Linked DNA regions of Rattus norvegicus. The protein of the gene in region 1 interacts with the protein of each later gene in a biochemical or structural test. Links are inferred from orthologs where the notes say so. Each region holds a gene or a part of one and is shown on either strand. Other genes may lie near its edges.

What was found.
Region 2: the proteins of Prkar2a (region 1) and Akap1 form a complex in vitro, tested with the Homo sapiens proteins (2 studies listed by BioGRID, with this or other methods). The link is inferred for Rattus norvegicus from reciprocal best matches to the Homo sapiens genes PRKAR2A and AKAP1.
Region 3: the proteins of Prkar2a (region 1) and Rab32 interact in a test that uses a peptide from one of them, tested with the Homo sapiens proteins (2 studies listed by BioGRID, with this or other methods). The link is inferred for Rattus norvegicus from reciprocal best matches to the Homo sapiens genes PRKAR2A and RAB32.

The regions. Positions count from the first base shown.
Region 1 is NC_086026.1:118,328,536-118,335,725, reverse strand, and holds part of Prkar2a (cAMP-dependent protein kinase type II-alpha regulatory subunit), read right to left. Parts: intron 3,142-7,190; coding exon 3,000-3,141; intron 1,953-2,999; coding exon 1,819-1,952; 3' UTR 1-1,818. UniProt on the Homo sapiens protein: Regulatory subunit of the cAMP-dependent protein kinases involved in cAMP signaling in cells. Type II regulatory chains mediate membrane association by binding to anchoring proteins, including the MAP2 kinase.
Region 2 is NC_086028.1:74,146,695-74,154,395, forward strand, and holds the start of Akap1 (A-kinase anchor protein 1, mitochondrial), read right to left. Parts: upstream 4,673-7,701; 5' UTR 4,480-4,672; intron 1-4,479.
Region 3 is NC_086019.1:6,776,587-6,784,459, forward strand, and holds the start of Rab32 (ras-related protein Rab-32), read right to left. Parts: upstream 4,673-7,873; 5' UTR 4,530-4,672; coding exon 4,286-4,529; intron 1-4,285. UniProt on the Homo sapiens protein: The small GTPases Rab are key regulators of intracellular membrane trafficking, from the formation of transport vesicles to their fusion with membranes.

The sequences.
Region 1 (7,190 bases):
CAAGGAGGACTCTGAAGCCAAGACTGAAGTGTGAGGGCAGGCTAAGAAGGCCTACCCCTAGCAGCCTACAGGAATAACTCTGGCATGAGATTCACAGCCAACCCTAACCAAGGCTGGCATGGAGGGTGGGGTGAGGGTTTAGAGTCCTTGTAAGGTCTGGGGCTGGACTTTTGGGCTACTCCTGGAGCCCATTGCACCTCTTACCTTTGCAAGAAATCAGGTATTATTCTGTCAAAGTACAAGGTCTGATTTATTTAATAAAGCGATACCATAGAAAAGGACCTTAGGAAGATTCGGGATTGCTATGAGGGTTTTCCAGTGCTAGCTGCCTGCTTCACAGTAGTTACAGCTGGACAAACCCCAGATCTGTAACGTAGGCTACTCAGAGCAGTCTGAAGAGTCCTGCTTTTGCTTCATGAAACACAAGAAAAAGTGACTTAATTCCCAAAACTGTGGCAACCCATCTACTCTGGACATTTCTTGGCTACAGTGACCAGGGCAAAAGTCGAGACAGTTAGAAAGGCCTTCACAGTAATTCCATGTTTATGCATGATAACCTGTCTTCCATGGCTATTATAGTGCTGGAGACCAAACCCAGAGCCTTGCATGTGCTATATACGAGCTTTGCCACTGAGCTGCACCCAACCCCTACCCCAATGATACAAGTTTTGAAAACAGATATTTAGGACAAATGCCTGAGTCAGTGGACAAACTCCATGTATATGAATACATCCAAGGTGAATTCTCTAAATAGAGAAAAAATTTCCTTAAAAAAAAAAAAAAAGCCTCTTTTTTAAGAGTTTAAAAACTGCGGATTAGTAGCCACGCTGTGTAATAAAGCTACAAGGGAAGGGCTCTCTGTGCAGCACAACCTCCGGCTGGGTAGTTTCTGCCATCAGCCAGGGACAGGGTCATGGCAGGGGCCACTCAGGGAAGTACTTAGGTCAGATAAAGCAATAACACTTCCAGACCCTGGCTCCTTATCAGCACCGTGCTCTGACCAGCTGAGCTAAACGGCCACCCCCGGCTCCTTAGAAATGGATAGCAATTTGTTTATGTAAACGGCACAGAGGTTAAACAAACAAAAAACTTACTAAAAACAAACAACAAAAACCCTGACCCAGATAACCTTTCCTGGCTACACTGGCAAGAGTGCTGGATCCACGTTTCCTGCTAAGCGAGTCTGAGTACCGTCTGCTCCTAGGGACCTGCTGGGCCTTCAAGGGGGCCTTTTCCGGAGCTTGGACACAGCTATATAATGTGTAGCTTCCAGCAAAAGTATAGGGCCCCTGGGGCACAGAACTCCAGTATAACTGCTACCACCTTCCACTGTGAGAGAAAAGCAGCAATTGTGAACACACTGTGGACCTTCTCAAAGGACAAGTGAGGAGACTGAAGGCTCTACCACTTCCTCCCTTGAGAAGGACTGTGGAGTGTTATTCCACAGGTTTCTGCAGACCTCAGAACTTTCAGAAGCAACATTAGCAGCAAGAGAGGAAAGGATGTTTACACTTTGGACTTTGTATCAGGCACTTAAATTGCTGGAGAGACATGCCATTCTGAACCAAACGTGAAACCTGGGCTGGAGTAATCGTGACATAAGTGGTCTAATGACGGCGTTCAGAAGCAAAGTGGAAGGTGGATGTGGGTAGAGCCTCTGTCCATCTTTCAAGACTTCTAAGTGCCCTTTACCACAGCGATGGCAGCAGCAGAGACAGCAGCAGGCGCAGTTCTGTCGTGTCTGTTTTCTGGGTGTGTTCTTGTGGCTGACTGGAAGGATTTGGTATCACACTGAGAAGGCTCCGAGATTCATCACATCTACTGCCCGGGGTCCAACAGATCCAAGTTGGAGCCAAACATCTTCACCAGCTGTTCTTCGTAATGTGAGATGTTCCTCTTCATGATGTCCATGCAGGGGCCCAGAAGCCTCTCAAATGCTTGAACATCCATGACTGCATTGTTAAAAAAGAGGGGTGGGAGAGAAAGATTTGTTTACATTAACAATTTAATTTCCTGCATGTAACCCTTTTCCTAAATACACTACCCACTCATGTTACAGGACTGAATTTTAGAATCCTGGGCACATGGGAAAAGAGGTGCTTCTGCATAATACAGCAGGACTGCATCTCTGCTGAAGACTAATGGTGGGCACAGTAGCAACCACCTGTCTTGTTCCTCCACAGGCCTGGCCACCTGCCTCCATCACTGTTGCTTTCACAGGCCTGTGTGCCTGTTGTGTACCTGTGTGCCTGTTGTGTGTCTGTGTGCCCATTGTGTGCCGGTGTGCCCATGGGCCTGTCTGCCTCCCAACCTGGATTCATTGCTCAGAATTGATTTCTAGGGTGCTGGGGGTAGAGATTTAGTGGCCCAGCATGTGTTTAGAATGTGAGGGGTTGGGGATTTAATTCAGTGGTAGGGCACTTGCCTAGCAAGTGCAAGGCCCTGGGTTCGGTCCCCAGCTCTGAAAAAAAAGAAAAAAAAAAAAGAAAAAAGAAAAGAAAAGAAAAGAATGTGCAAGGTTTTAAAGTTCAATGCCAAGAAAAAAAAAAAAAAAAAAGAAGAAGAAGAAGCTTTGCTGAAGATGGCTCGGCAGTTAAGAGCACTGAGTCACAAACTACCCAGACCGAGATCTGAATGAGAGTAAGCAGAATAAGTCAAGGCTGATAACAGGAAAAACGAACAAAAAAACCTTGTATATTAGAAAAAAATTAGTAATGCACAAAGAATTTTCTTTTTTCATTTTAGCACATTTCAGCCACACATGATAATGGTTTTTATTACGGCCTCCATGCATGTATGATTTGATCGTGTTCATCCCACCCTACCTGCTGCCCAACCCCCCTTCCCAGCCGGTTCCCATCCTGCTCTCCTGATGTCATGTTCTTTTGGGAGGAAGGGGAGGATAGTTTAATTAGGATTATGCCTCCCTCCCCCAGCTACCATTAACTGCCTAAAGTTGGGGCAGGCCTTGTAAGCCCTTCACAAAGACATTTTCTTACCTAAGCATTTGACATCTCCAACCGCATAAGCAGAAGCAGCTCTTGGTTTGTTGGTCACCAGGGCAAGTTCTCCAAAGTACTGCCCCTTATGGCAGTGGGCAATCTCAACCTCCTGGTTCCCGCCGTTCTTGTTCGTTTTAGTCTGCAACAGATACAGAATATGGTCCTGGCTGATTCTAAGATCACAGCTGGGCATGGCCAGTTGTACACACTCAAGTTCCCTTTCCGGAAAGGTCAACAAAATCACTGAGAATTCACATTGCAGAAACTTTGTACCCTGGAAACTCAACAGAAACATCTGTGTGGCTTGGTAGAACTGAAGGATGGTTTGACCTGGGCCCACCCAGGACCCACACGTTAGGTAGAGGCTGCAGCTCCGGCATCTTCTGTGGAGATTACACATCCTGGGAGATGTGACCACTGCACAGCGGAAGCCCAACAAGGTCTTCTGCTCACCCTTCCGTCAGCCATGAGCCAACACACAAGAGGGCAGGCTGGTTCCAGACAGTCTTGAATGGCTCTTTGGTGACATTTTTTTTCCCCCGGGGCTGGGGACCGAACCCAGGACCTTGCGCCTCCTAGGCAAGCGCTCTACCACTGAGCCAAATCCCCAACCCCGGTGACAACATTTCTTTTAAAGTACTTTCTGCACTGACACCTGAGCTGTGCCTCCATTCTTAACAGGTTAAGGACATCCTTCAAACATATGTGCTATGTTGTATTGCTACACTGGGTTCTTATTTCTTACGACTCCATCTGCTAAGTAAGGCAGTAACAACAAATTATGAGAACCAGTCTCTGTCCCTAAGAACCACGAGTGGTACAGGCAGAAAGACAGCCCTCCCCTGACTGGTAACAGAGACTTACTTACTGGCTCCGGCTAGCCTGGGACTAGTAATGTACACCAAGCTGGGCCTGCCTCAAGTGCTGGGATTACAGTGCGTGCTACCATGCCTATAACCCTTTGTTACTTTTTATTTTTTATTTATTTATTTATTTTTTTTGGTTCTTTTTTTCGGAGCTGGGGACCGAACCCAGGGCCTTGCGCTTCCTAGGTAAGCGCTCTACCACTGAGCTAAATCCCCAGCCCCTTTATTTATTTTTTTAAAAAAACATTTATTTATTATGTATACGTCATACAGCTTTCTGCTTGACGTATACAGAAGAGGGAACCAGACCTGATTATAGATGGTTGTGAGCCACCATGTGGTTGCTGGGAATTAAACTCAGGACCTCTGGAAGAGCAGCCAGTGCTCTTAACCTCTGAGCCATCTCTCCAGCCCCCTTTGTTACTTTTTTTTTTTTCTTTTTTTTTTCGGAGCTGGGAACTGAACCCAGGGCCTTGCGCTTGGTAGGCAAGCGCTCTACCACTGAGCTAAATCCCCAACCCTTGTTACTTTTTAAAGAGAATTTTTCCCAGTTTTTGAAAATAAGTATTTTATTCTCATATTTGTGTGTCTGCGTGCGCACGCTCCTGTGCAGGTGTCCATGAAATCCAGAAATGTGTGAGATCCCTTGGAGCTGGAGTTACAGGAAGTTGTGAGCTGTCCCAATGTGGGATCTGGGAACCAAACTTGGGTCCTTTGGAAAAGCAGGACATGCTCTTTAACGGCTGCCTTTCCAGCCCTTAAAGGGTGTGTATTATATGTGGGCTTACTTATTGATTTTATGTGTATATGTGTGAACCCCTTGCTTGTATGTATGCATGTACAAGTGCCCATGGAATCCAGACAGAATGTCAGAGCCACTGAAGCTGAAGTTCAGGTGATTGGGATCTAATTGATATGAGTATTGGGAACTGAACCCGGGAACTTTCTCTGCAAGAGGAGTGAATGATCTTAACCACTGAACCACTACTCCAGCCCCTTAGAGGAGTGTTTTAAAATGTTATTTTATGTGTGTTTTGCCCACATGTGTGTCTGTGCACCCAAATGGTGGAGGCTGGAAATAAAAGTCATATCCCCTAGAATGGAGTTACAGACAGTTGTGAGTGGCCGTGTGCTGGGAATGAAATCTATCTCCTGGAACAGCAGCCACTGCTCTTGACTGCTGGTCCATCCCTCCAATCCCTAAAGGGAATTAACTAATTAATTAACTAATTAGTTTATTTTTGGTTTTCCAAGACAGGGCTCCTCTGTGTAATCCTGGTACTTGCTCTACAGACCTTGACCTCAGATTCGCTGGGTTCTGCCTCCCAAGTGCGCCTGTGTATGCAGCACATGAACACAGAGGTGGGTACCTGCTATTCTCTTTATCTCTTCATGACTACTCCGCTAACAAGCCTCAACTGTCTTCTGTTTCTACCGTCTTGGAACTGGGACCACGGGCATTTAGAGGTTGTCTGGCTTGTTATGTGGGTGCAAGGGTTCAATCTGGTCCTTATGCCTATACGACAACTGCTCTTAACTCTGGAGTCATTTCTCTTGCCCCAATTCTTTTTCTTTTTTCTTTTTCTTTCTTTCTTTCTTTTTTTTTTTTTTTTCCGGAGCTGGGGACCGAACCCAGGGCCTTGTGCTTGCTAGGCAAGTGCTCTACCACTGAGCTAAATCCCCAACCCCTCTTGCCCAATTCTTTAATTTTTTGAGGTTCACTTATTTTTGTGTGCTTATGTGTTTAGGCATGCGCACACCACAGCACTGGTGTAATATGCAGAGGACAGTTTTTGAGAGTCAGTTCTCCCTTTCCACTTTGTGGGTTCTGAGGATCGAACTCAGGCTGTCAGGCTTTGGGGCCGTCACCTTTACCCACCAGGCTTCCTGCTAGACCGTGTTGTCGGCCTTAGTTCTCTAAAACACTGTTTTTTTGTTTTTTGGTTTTTTTTTAAAGATTTATTCATTTATTATATATAAGTACACTGTAGCTGTCTTCAGACACACCAGAAGAGGGCATCGGATCCCATTACAGATGGTTGTGAGCCACCATGTGGTTGCTGGGAATTGAACTCAGGACCTCTGGAAGAGCAGTCAGTGCTCTTAACCACTGAGACATCTCTCCAGCCCGCAAACACTGGTTTTTAAGTCTGTGTATGTGGGCCTGCGAATGCAAGTGCTCAGGGAGCCCAGAAAGGAGATCAGGTTCCCTGGAGCTGCTGTGAAAAACAGACTCAGAGCCCCTGTGAGAGCACTGTGCATTCTTTTTTTTTTTTTGGTTCTTTTTTTTCGGAGCTGGGGACCGAACCCAGGGCCACCCAGGGCCTTGCACTTCCTAGGCAGCACTGTGCATTCTTAACTGGGAAGCCATCTCTCCGGCCCTGCCTTCTTTATTATCTTTAAATGCAATTTAAATGCAAATCTCCCCCCCACCCCCCAAGGAGCTGAGGACCCAGGGCCCTGCGCTTGCCTAGCAAGCCTCTACCACTGAGCTAAGTCCCCAACCCCTTAAATGTAAATTTAAGACACTCTAGTTTACATCTTTAGTCTTTTCATCCCTCCACGGATATGGGAAGTGGAGTCAAGAGACTGAAAATTCAAAGTCATCCTCAGATATATACATGGTTGAGTTTGAAGCCAGCCTGAGCTACATGAGAAGGAAGAGAGAGAAAGAGAGAGAGAGAAAGAGAGGGGGAGAGGGAGAGGGAGGGGGGAAGGGGGAGGAGAGGGATAAAGAAAAAAGATAGCGGCCATCCAGCATTCTTCCGAGCTACAGGTCATCAATTACAACCTCTGTCTATCCATGAGAGCCATGCGAGTAACATAATGGAGACTTTCCCCAGGAGTCCTAAACTGTGGATGCCGTCTTCACATCCAACCTTGTATGTACCTGTTACATAATGCTCCTGTATTTATAGTTTTTATAGTTTTCTTATTTATAGCTTAGTAATCCTCATTTCACTAATTATATGAGAGAGGCAAAATCGGGAAAAGAGAAAATGTACTAAATCTTTTGTTGTTGTTGTTTTTTAAACGTCTCCCCCCCCCCCCCCCAGCTGGGGACCAAACCCAGGGCCTTGCACTTGCTAGGCAAGTGCTCTACCACTGAGCTAAATTCCCAACCCCCGTTGTTTTTTTTAAATCGGATAGTTTATGTATTTACATTTCAAATGCTATCCAGGTCTGCCCCCCCCCCCCCCGCATCTCCCCTCCCTCTGCTTCTATGAGGATGCCCCCCTCCTACCCACCCACTCCCACCTCCCTGCCCTGGCATTTGCCTACACAGGGGCATCGAGCCTTCACAGGACCAAGAGCTCTCCTC
Region 2 (7,701 bases), on another chromosome or scaffold:
ACCAGAACAGCTGCCTAGAAGCAGAAGCCATGCTGCCTGGAAGAGGTTTAGACCAGAGAGTCACTTGGAAAGGACACTCTCCAACCTGCTGAGCTGCCTGTAGGATGTGCAGTGTGCTCCAAGTTCCCAGCTCTGTGAGCTGTCACCCATGCTTGGGTGGTATACACATGGGTCTGTCATGTGATCCCTATCGGGGGTGAGTAGACTGTGTGTTGCATCTCACCAGGAAAAGTTCTGTCACACAACATGGATGAAAAGGATCATCTATAAATAATGTCCACTCTCCACAGGCTACACCAACATTACGGGATCTACACCGTGACACCCTTGTCCCACTGCCTTCTGTAAAGGACACCTCCTAACATTAAGACAGGCTGCTGGGAAATGGGACACAGTAGCTCATGTCTGTAACCCCAGCACTTGCAAGGTTCTGACAGAATGACCTGAGGTCACCTGGCGGTATATCGTACATGCCTAAGATACACAAGCAGACCCTGCCTCAAAAAAAAAAAATTACTGACACAGAATGAAAAGTCACACTGGTTTAACAGAGAGGTATCATACTGAGGTCCTTTGGAAGCTATCGGGTCTGGTGATATGACATAGGCAGACCAAAAACAATGAACACAGACCCCAGGTAAGTTCTCAAACCAAGGTGGCTCAACCGAGAGGCTCAGCTCTGGCTGCTCCACTTCATACTCGGGTCCCCCAGACCTCTCAGTAAGTTCATTCCTCAGCCTATTTCCTAGAAACCCATCCCTCTCATCCCCCTCCTCGCTGTAGACCAGAACTTGCTTCTTTCTTAGCATGCCATGGAAAGAGAACCTCTAGTGACCAAAGGGTAGTTCTGTTTGTGAACTACAAATGAATAAAACCCAAACACACAGTGCTTTTCAGACATTCACAGGTTGAGGCCATTAAGGTTTTAGAGTAGGACAAAGAATATTCTAGACTCACACAATCCAAACTCCTTATGGTAATGAAATGTTGACTCCCCAGGGTGGCAGGCAACCATATTCCTCCAGCAGCCCCACCAGGTAGCTTGCCCTGAGTCCCAGAGCAGAGTCAGAATTCTTTACAGGTATAAGCCCAAGCCTTGACCTGCTCTCCAATCAGAACACTTTGAACACCTTCAGTTCACCAACTCTCCTTTACCAATTGAAAAAAAACAAAAAAACAAAAAAACAAAAAAAAACAGACCCTGGATGGCCAATCAGCTGGCAGGAGGTTGGAGAGACACAGCAAGCCCTGACCTCTTTAGAGTTAAGGCCAGCAGTAACAGGCCTCCTCTGTCCTGAGCACTGCAGGCTTCTCCTTCCTCTAGAACTAACCCCCTTGCTTTGCTTTGCTTCTCTGGGCCTCAATGACAAAGCTAAGTAACACAAGCCACAGGGAACAAAATGCTTATTAACATGAACTGTAGGAGCATCCGAACAGCAAGGGCTTGGACAGAATGATGTTGCTGAACCCAAAAAAAACCTCAAATTGTCCCGGCATGGCAGCAACACTCCTCCATACCCTCCCCAATGTCATGCACCATCTGGAAGAGGACAACAAAGTCAATGACAAGAAGGTTAGCAAGGATGGTGTGTGCTCGAAATCCCAGCACTTGGAAGGGTGGACAGGAGGGCTGCAAGTTTAGGCTGGCCTCATTTACATAGCCTGACTCCTGTCTCAAAAGGGGGGAGGGGCACTCTGGACCTAAAGGTCAACTGTCCAGAACTTACCATGCATAAGCCTATGTCCAATCCCAAGTGCTTGAGAGAGACTGACTACACCAGGAAGGAGAAACAGAATTTGCCCTATGAAGCCAGATTTAGGACTTAACACACCCCACTGTAGAGATTAGTAACTCTCAAACATTATGATATCCATGGCACATGGAGCCCACAGAACCCAGGCATCTCCCCATAATAAAGTTCCTAGGATTACTATTCAAAGAAAAACGCCAGATACAAACTTCCTACAGACAGGAAAGAAAACTGAGCCGCAGAGAGGTCCAGGCATGTCAAACTCACAAGGAACATTAGGAAGGAGTAGCCAGGGAAAACAGGGCAGCTCCCCGGGCACATGAGCTCCGATGCCTTAAAATGCCGGTGCGATCAAGACATGCTGACCCAGGAGGCTAGGTGGCAAAGTGAGGGTAAACCAATTTGTCTTCCTTTTCCTTCTAACCAAGTTACTAGGTCAGAGGCTAGGGGAGGGAGTGCTTTTATATTTAATCAAATGACCGAGAGACATTTGACAGGGATTCCTTGGGAGTGAGGGACGCCATACTTAAGTGCCTACCCTATACCAGGGATAGTCCCAATCTCCATCCATGTTTAGGATGAGAAAAGGAAAACCGGAAGCTAAAACTACCTTATTCCGCAAACTAGCTATGGCCAGCTCCACAAATAATCTGGGTACCTGGTAAGGTAGCAAAGACAGATTGCTTTAAAGTACTGAGGCTCTGCAAACCTGACACACTGCCTTCAGCATCTGAGCAGGCATCGTACAACTGATACCTGTGTATCTTTGCTGTCACCCTGCAGTGGTCAAGTGAGAATGAGACTCCTACAATTATCTGGGAGATGGGAGAACCCCGGGTAGACAAACTCACTAGATTTCCATCAGGTCTCACCCACCGGCCCCCTCTACAGAACAAAGCCTTCTGATTTAGCAAACTGACCGGAAGCTTTAGTGATTTGCACACACGCCCATAGGGTAGGAGAATGTCCTCTAACCCAAGGCCATTCACAAGACGACACCCAGGAATTACCCAGAACCTACAAAACAGGTTAGAAGTAAAAGAAAGCTCAACAGCAAAAAGCTGTCAAAAACCTAACCCTTGGGCTCTGCAAGACTCCTAAATAATCTGAAGGTGAGCCATTTAAATGCCAATCAGAGAAGACTCTGACTCGAGAGCGACTCCTTCATCGAGTTTATAGATGCTTTGTGGCTTTAAGAGAGAAACGGGTAGGAACCCCTAAGGATCTAAGCCTCGATTTTCTAAAGCGTTTAAAACAAAACCAAAAACCCCAAGGTTACTAATTGGGGAAGGATTTCGCACTTAGAGGAGCGCGTCTGATTATTGGTTTCCGGAAGCAATAGCAAATCGACAGAGAAGGTTACACTAGGTGCGGCAACCCCGATTTCACTGCAGGCGTTACATTTAAACCCCAAGCAGCCTCAACTTCAGTAGTGGAAAGAAAGATAGGCAGTTTAACCTCACTAATTGCCCTACACATACACCCTACCTTACCGGTTTGAGGAGCCTCCACTCGCACCTGGAGCGAAGTCCACCGGGTTTGTGTTAAGCACAGCCCAAGGGTAGAAAGGTACTAGTCGCTCGAGGCATTTCCCAGAGAAGAAAGGTCCGGGTTAACACAGGGTTTCTCGGAAGTCTCTTCTGCACAGCCCAATACTATTAGCACCTTCCCACCCGCAGAAAGGAAACAGGAAAAGATAGGACAAGGGAGTAGTTGACACCAGAATGTAGGCTCCTTGACGCGTACGGAGGCTTCTCTACACGCAGGTTTTTACCTACAATCGTGGCAAAGTCCCCCCCCCCCATGACCCCTTGCAAAGTCCCTCCAGATCACTGTCCTGGGGCGGGAAGAAAGGTGGAAGGCGACACGTGACCCTGGACCTCCCCACCCCCGCCAGAGGTCAGCGGACACCTCTAGCTAGAGGTCTTCCACCTTTTGGGACGCGCTTATGGGGCCACAAACTCTAATCCCCTTTCGGACACCCAAGCCCTCGACCTCCGGTCCTAATTGGTCTTATGGTCCCTTCACCGCCAAAAGGTTTGGGACCTGTCTCGCATCCCGTTCTCCCCGCTGCAACAGTCCTCCAATAATTCGCGGCACTGAATCCAGGAATTGTGCCACTGCCGGGCAAACCCAGAGCGAGTGAACTGGGCCCAGCAGTTAGGAAGTTAGGAAGTACAGGGGTTCCCAAGGACCTCCTCTCCCGCCTTGGGCACCGGGTCCTGGGCAGAGACAGCCCCGCTGCCTCCTCTCCATGCTCAAACTGGGTACACACGACCTTTGAAAAGTAAACGCTAGCGAGGCTGGACGACCTTGGGTGGGACGCGCTCGGGCTCGCTACCCAGAAGGGTGAGCCGGCACCGGGAAAGTTGAGGCTCACCGAAGCGCCCGGGGAATTGCGCCCTCATCTCCATCCCAGAGGCCAGTGACATGAGGGGGATGGGAGGGGAAAGCAGCGGCTCAAAGCAGCGCCCCAGGCTCAGCGCACGCGATCTGTCAGTAGCAGCCCGCGGGCAAATCGCCGGACAGGGAAGGAGCAGGGGGGGCGCGCGGGTCACCAAGGCTCATACCGGACCGCTTGACAGCAGGCGCCGTGCACAGGACTCTCCGTCGCCGGAGTACCTGACGCACGCGTCGCCCTCTGCACCTGCACCCCAGGCTCCCCATCACCCCAACTCGTTCTCCCTCCGGGCCCGGCAGGAGGATGCCCGCGCCAGCCGTCACTTACCTGCTCCGGGGCGACCGTCTAGGCGCACAGTCCTCCCGCCACCGCCCCCGGGCCCCCCACCTAGCCCAGCGGCCCTGCCCCGCAGCGCTGCAAGGCGCTTCGGCCGCTCCCCCACGTGCTAGCCCAGGCCGGGCGAACACAGAGACATTAAATACTGAGGACGCGCAACGACGTGCCCGCGGCGCGACGCAAGGCCCCGCCCCTCGCCCTCGGCCCCCTGGCGTGCCCCCCTCGCCCGCTCGCTCTCCTGCGCGTGCGCGCCACCAGCCGCTCCCTCCCCCGACTTGCGCGCGCCTCTCTCCTATCTGCGCCAAGAGGGGCGCGGTCTGGAGCGCTCCGCTGATATCCCGGCGCCGCTCGGGCCCGCCTTGCTGGCGCTCTCGCGAGAGTAACTATAGTCACGGCAGGCGTGGGAGATGATCCTACGTCCCACAAGGGCTGGGGTGGGTTACCCATGTCTGAGCGCTAGGCACAATGAACTTGGCTCGCTTGAGAGCTCTTCTTCTCCGGGACGGAGAGGTATCAGGCAGGTTCCTGCCTTGGGATGGTGCGTCCCATGGAAAAGGCAGGAGCGGCTGGTGAGAGACGAGGTTACATTGTTCCTCTTACCTAGGAATTGAGCTGTCCCGTAACTTTGCTAGTATAACGTAGCATTTCGAGTATATTAGGTGGCCATTAATTGATCAGTAATATGGATAATGTGTAGCCCTCGAGGGCAAGTTGCTTTCTCATTTTTGCAGCTTTAGTGATGTCGATAGGACTTTTCTCTAAATGATTTGAGTTTTTGCAAAGTTTGCCTTCGAAGAAGTGGTCACCATGAGTCACTGCCTCCTCCCAACAACATGAGAAAATAAAACTATCATCAGACAATTGGATAGGAAGGAGGTTCCACTTGCTAACCAGCCCTGCTCTGATCCTTAAAACCTAGGCACTTTAGTTTCTTGTTTATTTTGATATTCTGAGATTGTGTCTCATGTAACCTACACCGGCCTCAAACTCTCAAACTGTCAAGTTCGAAGCTGACCTTGAACTCCTGATCCTCCTGCCTTCACCTCCCCGGAGTGTTAGCATTACATAGCACTTTCAACGCATATTTTTGTACAAAATATAGAAAAGATGCCATACCACGAACGAACCATTACTTGGGAAAATCTTCACTGGTGATTAAATGTGAATTTATGTTTTAAAAGGAGACTGTATGCTTACTGAGTGGTAAATATAATTTCATGTATCTACTGTTTCACTCATTTATTTCCTGAGGCAGCACTTGGGAAGCTGAGGGAAGAAGATTACCACAATTTCAAGTCACCCCAGGCTACCCAAGTTGAGATCCTATCTCAAAGTAAACCCCCCAAATTGTTTTTAAAGATTATTTTTATGCGTATGAGTGTTGACTACACACAGACATTCATTCACCACTCGAGTGCCTGGTGCTTGGGAAAGCCAGAAGAGGATGTTGGATCCTGTGGAACTAGAGTTACAGAGCAGTTTAAAGCCTCCATGTGGAGGCTGGGAACCGAATTCTGGTCCTCTGGAACATTTGATGGTGCCCTTGCCATGAAGCCTTCTCTCCACCACCACCCGGCCGGTCAAACTTAAGTCCAATAATACCTGTTCTGTAAATAATAGTGGATTAGTGACTGACCGTGGCAGAAGGGAACAAACAAGAAACCTCATTGTCATTGGAGATGAGATACTGGCCTGAACTAATGGCCCATCATTGCTCAGTGACTCTGGGGTGTAAGAGGTAGAGGGAGGGGGTTGGGGATTTAGCTCAGTGGTAGAGCACTTGCCTAGCCCTGGGTTTGGTCCCCAGCTCCGAAAAAAAGAAAAGAAAAAAAAAAAGAGGTAGAGGGAGGCTCACTCCTGTTGTGTTGGTTAAGGAATGGGGAGCGCTGGTGAACGAGCAGCATTTGGTTTATTTGGGGCCCATTAACTTTGTTTTGGTTGTTTTGGTTTGTTTTGGTTTTCAAATAGCAACTGAGTTGGATATGCAAGTCTGGAGATCAAAGGAGAATGGGTAGGGAATACACATATGTAAAAATTGTGTAAAGGGGGAATACACACCACACTTCCACACATATCTGAGGCTCTTTTAATTTTGCTTTGCTCCATGTAGGTTTTTTACTGGTAACTCAGACTGGCCTCTGAGTTGTGATTCTTTTATGTTGGTCTTCTTAGCTCTATGATTACAGCTCTGTGTAGCCGGGCCTGGCTCAAAGGGGGGATATTTTTTTTTCTTTTTTTTGGAGCTGGGGACCGAACCCAGGGCCTTGCGCTTTCTAGGCAAGCGCTCTACCACTGAGCTAAATCCCCAACCCCATAGGGGGGATATTTTTAAGAAGAGGAAAAAAAGCAGAGAGTGGAACGGGGGATAAAAATAGGAGAGATAGCTTCAAGCAGTAAGGCTATACAGGCGTGAAGACCTGAGTTCAGATCCTCATCACCCAAGTTAAAAACTAGGTGTGTGGGTGGGATGAGATGGCTCAGAGGGTAAAGGCAAAGCAGGAAGACCTGAGTTCAATTTCCAGGACCCACTTGGAAGAAAATAACCAAATCCTAAAAGTTTCCTCTTCCTCTTCCTCCCCTTCCTCCTTTTCCTTCTTTCTTCTCCTCTTCTTCCTTTTCTTTCTCTTCTTCCTTCTCCTCTTTCTCCTCCCCTTTTTTCTTCCCCCTGACATTTCTACCTCTGGAGTGCTGGTGTCACAGAAGTGCATGACAACCCTGGTTTATGTGGCCTTGGCTGGGGAATCAAACCCAGAGCCCCTGGCAGGTAGACCAGCACTCTACTGACTAAGCTACATCTCTTTTTTTTTTTTTTTGGTTCTTTTTTCCGGAGCTGGGGACCGAACCCAGGGCCTTGCGCTTCCTAGGCAAGCGCTCTGCCACTGAGCTAAATCCCCAGCCCCTAGAATTTCTTTTTCTTTTCTTTTCTTTTTTTTTTTTTTTTTTTTTTTTTGGTTCTTTTTTTCCGGAGCTGGGGATCGAACCCAGGCCCTTGCGCTTCCTAGGCAAGCGCTCTACCACTGAGCTAAATCCCCAGTCCCTAAGCTACATCTCTTGCTCCTTGTGAAGTTCTGTCTTCTCTTAGCAGTCCCTCCAGTCTCAAGGACATGTCTCTGAGAAATGTCCTCCCATTTCTGTTGGAAGAGTCCACAAAGGTATTCCAAGGGATGGTAAATATAAACCGTCTCCTTTATGTGTATACAAAAAGGAGCCCCT
Region 3 (7,873 bases), on another chromosome or scaffold:
TCCTAAACCTTTAAACGAATGTATTCAACGAGAACAAAAGGTATCCCGTCTTCAGATGTAAACAGTTATCCATGTCCATAAACTGGCCTCTACCAGAGGCTCCTGAGATGGCCACTTAGAGAGTGAGGATGGCCCTTCTATGGAAGTGCTGTGAAACACGGGAAGTGAAGGGCATGGAAGGTGTGACTGGCGGAACACAGATGCCAAGTAGGCCGTCTGATTCACTGATAAGTTCCTGAAGAGTAGTGGGAGTGTGGGTGTGTTGCCAGGGTGCAACAGAGCCGAAGACAGAACAGTGCCTCTCAGCTCTAGACTAAATCAGAGTCACCCACGGTGCCTGACGGATGACAGTCTTCCAAGTGGTTCCAATTCTGACTCAGTAGGTACATTAGTCTCAGCTCCCCTTTACAGAATGCTTTGGAGCGAGCTCTGTGACCAGTTTGAATCACGAGTCTTATGTTTCTTAGCTGCCTTTGAACCGAGACAGGCCCATTTTACTGGACCACTGAAACAAATAATACATCCTTGGAACAGCTGAGTGGTGGAAAGCCAGTTTTTGTCTACGAAGATTTCATGCTATTGTACATCAGTCCTGGCATGCCCGACCCCAGACTTAGGCATGAAAAAAAAAAAAAAACTCTTCTACTAAGCCGGTTTGGATGGACACGTTTGTCAGATAAAGCCAAGTCTACTGTCAGAACAGATGCTAAAGAATCCGTGTATATTCCGGACAGTAGATGTTAATAAGGCCCCGGTGGTTCTGGTGAGAGATACTTAGAATAGGAAGGACAACACGTTCAGATTGATCTCAGGAAGCTACCACAAGCCATGGTAGAGGATGTGTAAGTAAACTGTATAGATACAATCTATTAGGGGAAGAATGGGGTGGGAAAGAAGCCAGGCTATCTGTCAGTTAAAAAGACAAATAGGAAGCACAAAGCTACATCTTTGTGTATACATTCTGTTGTTGCTTTTTCCCCCATCTCTGCCTCAGAAATCAGACTGAAGGAGCCACCCAGGCCTGGCTTGCTGGGTCAAAGGGCCAAGGTTTTCGATGAGAACACTTGGATGGAATTCTAAAATGTTTCCGTGATCTCATGTCTCGCCATTCAGAAGACATCCCCCATGTTTATATGGAAAGAGAAAGTTCCATATGGAAAGCTGATTAAAAAAAAAAAAGTACCCAGCATCCCATATGTATGTACAACGGATGCAATGTCTCCAAGAACGTATTTGAAAATAACACTTCATTCCTGGGCTACAGAGTTCACTGGCAGGCTTCATTAGTGAGTGTTTACCTGAGGCCAGGCGCACATCTATAATTAATGCTTCGATTTATTTCTTTAGGGTGTGTTCTTGTAGCCATGTACCAGTGAAACAGCTCAACACATCTCAGAAATGTCCACAGCTTAGAAATTCTTTCAAAATGCATTTTTAAAAAGAATGAAGCCAATGAAAACCTGTCTGCCGTGGGAATTCTGAACTTCCTGGGCAAAGAAGCATGAGATGTCGTGAGCAAATGACTGGAAATGTTGGGATGAAGGCAGTAAGAAATGGTAATGGTCGAGTCTACAATACGAGGTGCATGCTCTAATTTGGGCTCCTTCAATGATATGAGAAACACTTTGTTGAGCCATATACCAGAAAACTACTATGGTCTTTAATTTGAAGGGATTACACAAACCTGTTTGGCTGCATTTGTAGAAAGCGTTCTGTAATTCTCGCTTATTATACTTCTCAAAGCTTCTCTGATTGCAGATTTCTTTATGGCCCTGTCCACCTCTACGACCTCCAGGACAACGGCATTGAAGAGGAACTAGCAAGTGAGTCATGGCTAGTGGCTGGCTCCAACTTTTGTTTTGCAACCAGGAAATACTTTAATCTTCTGGAAGTCAGTATGATTCAACCTTGTAAGTTGCACACAGCATATGCTTTACAGAATATTTTGGAATATTCCTGCGGGGAGCGTTCTGGCATGGGCTCTTTACCCAACTTCTCCCTCATTCAAATGGTATGAGCTAAGAAGGATTCACTAGTCCCTCAAAAGTTCAAATCAAGCAGAGTCAAGGCCATGTGTAGTTCTGCAAATTCCAACCCCAAACCCAAGTTATTTGTGTCTCTTGATACCTGCATATTAAGACATCTTGCCTCAAATTCAGACTCTCTGAGAAAAGCCTAATAGTCTAGTTATGTCCTAAGTTTTCCTCTGGTTCTGTTGTTTGGAGTTTTGTATTTGCTAAATGCTACAAGAGTTCCTGTTGGTCAAAAAGCAACACCTAACACCAGAGATCCAGTTTGCAGACTGTAAAACGTTTCTCTCCTTTCCAGTAATGCTCAGACGTCAGATTTTGGCAAAGGTACAAGGATGTGTTATTACAGCAGACAAATGGGCTCTGTCTCCCTCCAGGCTACGGTGTCTTTTCAACGAGGATGAAGTTGGGTGGAGTGGCTCATCCTGGTAGTTTCAACAGTGGGGTTGGTATACAAAGAGCAGAAGTGATATACAGAAAGAAGAGGTGGTTGCTTTTCAGATTTTTTGAAACAGGGTTTCTCTGTATAGCCCTGGCTATCCTGTAACTCATTATGTAGACCAGGCTAACCTCAAACTCAGAGATCTAACAGCTTCTGCCTCCCAAATTCTGGGGCTAAAAGCAGGGGCCATCACCACCCTGGACCCCTGATTTTGTTTCCTCAACTCTCCAAACATAATTTAACATAGCTCATATCCTACTAATTTGCACATAATAGAAGAAACTGAACTGCCATTCCAAGCAGGGATTCCAAATCACCTCTGTGAAAGAGATGCACAGGATATCCTCATTGGTGAGGGTCACACAGTAAGGCAACCTTCAGGATGTGAGACAATGTCAAGAAGCAACAGAATGCCCACCAGTTTTCTGGGCAGTAGGAGCGAGTGTTGCCAACGAAGCCTCTGCCTTTAAAGGGTGACACTTGAAATACATTCTTAGTTGTTGCAGGAGGCAAAAAAAAAATCAAACAAGCTGAACCGAAGGCGAAATAACTTTGAGAAATTGATAAATGATATGCATAAATCCATTCTTCTTACCCATGTTAGACTCTGCTCTTAGGCAAACGAGTATAAGGTTTATAAATTCTTTAACACTTCCTCAGTGGAGTGACTATAAAAGAACACAGCACTTACTAACTGGCAGGCAGAAATCACTGTCCCTCTAGGCTACTGCCAGCTGTAGTGTAACCACACCCCTCTGGGGCTTTGGGGTATGCTCCCTGTGGAAAGGACCATAAGGTGTTCTCCGCCTTAAACAAGCTCCCATTCAAACGCTTGGCAGACGGAGCTCCTGACCGTTCCCAGTGATTGAGCAGGTTAACCTTTGCTGCTTGCCACTTCTATTAAACTTCACTAAAGTTCACCTTTCCTTGAACGCCCATATGGGCACCTACCACACCTGCTAGAATTCAGGGGATTCATAAATCAGCCCTCGAAGACAATGGTTCTTACATTCCAGAGCAATAATTGAAAGCAAAAGAAAACAATTCAGCATTTGTGGGATAGGGAGGTACCCACGAGAAGGCATTAAGTATTGGCTTAGTGAGGGGAAGGCATCGGGAAAGTTTCAGAACTTTCCCAACCCTTCCCCAGGGTCACCAGGCCTCCCAAGTGAGAGGAATTTGAGGAATGGAGTTACCCCTCACAAAGGCTTGGCTAGGTTCCAAGTTTTACTCACCCACAGCTCCAAACCCTTTTAGTAAATTATAAGTTTGGCTCCGGAAAGAGAAAGCCCTTACTTCAGAGAGGCACAGACCCAAGTCAAGTTGGGGCGGGGCAGGGTTGAAAAGTAAAGGGGCTTTGTTGGTTTTAGTTGTACCACTAAGGCAGTGGTTCTTAAAGCTGACATCCTTTAACACAGTTCCTCATGTATGTGGTGATAAAATTATTTCCGTTGCTATTTCATAACTATAATTTTGCTACTGTTATGAATCATAATGTAAATATGTGCTCTCCTAAGATCATAGGCTACCCTTGCAAATGAGGTCGGGGCCCAAAGATTGAAAGCCGCTGCACTAACTGGTAGTGGAACTTCAGGCACGCCCTTTAGTCACTAAAAAGTACAGTAAGAGAGAGGCCTCCGAAAGTCAACTTTTCAGGACGCTTTAAGCTCCTCCAGGTGTCCCTCATCTCCTGTTCTATTTGCCCACTTTTAAAAGCGCAACTGCTGAGAGCTCAGGCAGAGACAAGGACAGACAAGAACCGGGAGGCAGAGAGAAGTGAGAGTCTGGTGATATTGGGACACTGCCCTCTTACCAGCGATGTCCCACAGCTGCAAGCGCACGAGCGTCCTGCTGTCCCAGTTGAGGACTTTGAGGGCGAAGTCCACGCCAATGGTGGCGCGGTAGTTCTGGGAGAAGAGCTGGTGCACATAGCGCTTGATGATGCTTGTCTTGCCCACGCCGAGCTCGCCGATGACCAGCACCTTAAAGAGGTGCTCTCGGGTCTCCGGAACCGCAGTGGCCGTTTCGCCCTGTTGCCCGAGTCTCTCGCCCGCCATGGGCGCCACGGCCGTGGGAACTTCTCTCTCAAGGGGGACAGGGCAGATCCTCGGTCCGCGCACCCGGCGATGCAGTCATGCGAGTCACGGGACCCGGAACCTACTGCGCGCTTCTGGCCCAGGACAGTCTGGGTGCACCCTACACGGGGCGAGCCTGGTCCGGCCACTTCCTTTTCTCGTGCGACTCTGCGCGGTCCACAGCACCCCCTGCTGGCCTTAGACAAGGGCAGCGGGAGGTCAGTGCTCCGGCTGAGCCAAGGTCCTCGATGTCTAGATGTCTGTCAGATGACAGAACTTGCAAAGGACTAAAGCTGGGTCCTATGACAAATCAAGTTTTAATGTGTTAGAGGAAGTTGCATGCTTTTTTCCATAATGACCGGAATTTCCATCGTCTGCAATGCTGTGCAAGCATTCTCTTTTCTCCACACCCTTAGCCAACACAATATCTCCCGCTGTTTCGGTAATAGCTATCCTAATAAACATGGAGTTTTGATTGACACTTCCTTGATGGTTAGTGATGTCAAGTTCTTTTGTTATACACACGTTGTCCATTTTTATATTCTCTTTAGAAGAATGTTCCTTCAGATAGTCTTGCCTATTTGATAATCGCGCGTTTGACGGTTCTGTTTGTTCGGTGTCCAAAAATGCGAACTCCTAAATGTTTGGATGTGTGGCTTACATATATTTACTCCAAGCCCATAGACTTCTTTCTTCGTTTTGCTTTGGTGGCCAGAGAAATTTCTAGCTAGTGAACGTCCATCAGTCTGTTTCGGCTTCAGCTTTGGCATGATTTCCAATATCCATTGTTAAGCTCAGTGCCAACAGGTGAGCCAGAAATACGTACTTGAGGATATGCCCTAAATAAATGAAATCAACTTCTCCAGGGAGGCGACTGCACGGCTAAATTCATAACAGTATGAATTTATAAGTGAGAAATTTATTTATAAGTGAGAAATACCACGTGTTCTATGGGGTATTGTTGGATCTCCTCTATCAACTTCTCCTGCTGCAAGTGGTACACACACTCCAACACCCATACATCCACACATCCAGCTTGATTTTTTTCTCCTTTTGCATGAGTACCTAGGAGTGAAATTTCTTGATCACGTAGCACCTCTATTTACATTTTGGGGGATCAACATCTTACTATCTCTCGCTACGCCTGTAGTATTGTCATTTGCCAAGATCCAAAATTTCTTTTTTCATTGGATATTTTTTGTATTTACATTTCAAATGTTATCCCCTTTCCCAGTTCACCCCTTTCTCATCCCCCCTCCCCCTGCTTGTATGAAGATGCTCCCCCTCCCACCCACCCATTCCCACATCGGTGCCCTGACATTTCCTTACTCTGGGGCCTTGAGCCTTCAGAGGACCAAGGGCTTCTCCTTCTATCGATGCCAGACGATGCCATCCTCTGCTACATGTGCATGGCTGAAACCATGGGTCTGTTCCTGTGTATTCTTTGGATGGGGGTTTAGTCCCTGGAAGGGGAGCTTTTTTGGGGGGGTCTGGTTGGTTGGTATTGTTGTTCTTCTAACAGAGTCCCAGGGGCTGTCAATTCCAAGACCATACTTTGGTTTAGAGTTCAGTCATTTCTGTGTCTGGCTGACTCAACCAGAAAGCCTGTTTTCTAAGGAACTCAAACTTTCTGTTTTATCTTTTAGAGGGAAAAACCCTGGAATCTGCATCTGGCGAACAAAGCATGATGAGCTTGAGGCACATTCATGACTTAAGAATGAAGATTTTCGTAATTGCAAGTAATATAAGCAGTGAACAGTATCTGAGTTGCAGATGGTTGCAACATAGAAAGGAGGAGTGGAGAGATCTTCTAATTCTGGACTGGTTTTATGGGGTGTGTTGGTTTGAAGATGCATGACAATTGGAGTGAGTGGCACTATTAGGAGGTGTAGCCTTATTGGAGTACATGTGGCCTTGTTGGAGGAAGTGTGTCGCTATGGGAGTGGCTTAGTCTCCTCCTAGCTACCTGGAAGCCAGTCTCCTGTTTGCCTTAGTAACAAGATATAGAACTCTCAGCTCCTCCCACTAGTGCCATACCTTCCTCGAAGCTTCCCACCATGATGATGATGGACTGAACCTCAGAACAAGTAAGCCAGCCCCAATTAAACATTGTCTTTTATGAGCGTTGCCTTGGTCATGGTATCTTTTTACAGCAATGGAAACCCTAACTAAGATAAAGGGGAAATAGTTTTTGTTCTCATTCATAACAAAGAAAATAATACAAATAAAATTTCCATTTGCTACATTTAAAAGTGGCTTCACTCGATGTTCTCACATAAGTTTCTTTTGTGTTTTTGAAAAGAGGGTCTTACTCCATAACTTGAATTTGAGATCTTGTTACTTTAGCCTCTCAAGTTCTAGGTTCATAGCCCAGCCTTTCCTCATAGCTTTCCCTTCTGTGTTTTCTTTCTCTTTCATTTGGAATCTATTGCCTACAGTTGAGCCATCTCAAGCTGTTCCAATCAAACTCTCCATTGTTTATATGCTAGTTAAAAGGTTTACCTTGTCACTCCTGGTAGACATATATGTTAGTTTATAGATTCAAAAGCTTACAGTTGTGTCAAGAAGTGTTTTCAGACACTTGAGTTAGAAAGATAAACAGATTGGACAAAGTTTTGGTCTCAAGGACTCCATGTTGGAGTGAGTCCCAGGGAAGCAATTTTCAAACATGCTGATACTTTTTTTGCATATACACTTTATAAAAAATACTATTTAGTGATCATTGGATTACTTTAGTAATCAGCATGATATTCTTGAGACAAACATTGGAAATAAGTTTCAAATATGTTTTTCTTGATGCTCACATTAAAAATCAGCCAGTTTGGGGTCATAATAGAAAAGTTTCCTGTGCTCTAGGCTGCCCACCCTGTCTTAGTTCACAGGTTCTCATAAGAACGGGTCTGTTTCTGGGCCACCTCTTCCTCTATCGGCTTATGTGTCAGACTTGTACCAATCTTTATGTGGCTACTGTATCTTTGTTATATAGTTTCTTCTAAACCACACCTCTTTCTTCTATACTCTGTGTTTGTATGTGTATGTACAGGCATGTTTGCGCATGTGCATGCGTGTGTTCATGTTTCTGGGAACAGTCTACAATCCTTCAAAATTGCCTTTAACATTCTGGTTTCTAATGTCAAATTCTGCAGACACACTGCTAGGCAACTTGTCAGAACTAGAGTGAGTAAAACTGATTAGTTTGAGGAGAATTGAAAATTGATATAACACTAAATCCTTAGACATACTGATATAGTGAAAACATGATGTACCATTATAATAATGCAAGTGTTAATATCTTTCAATAATAATATGAGGTTGTAAATTTTACA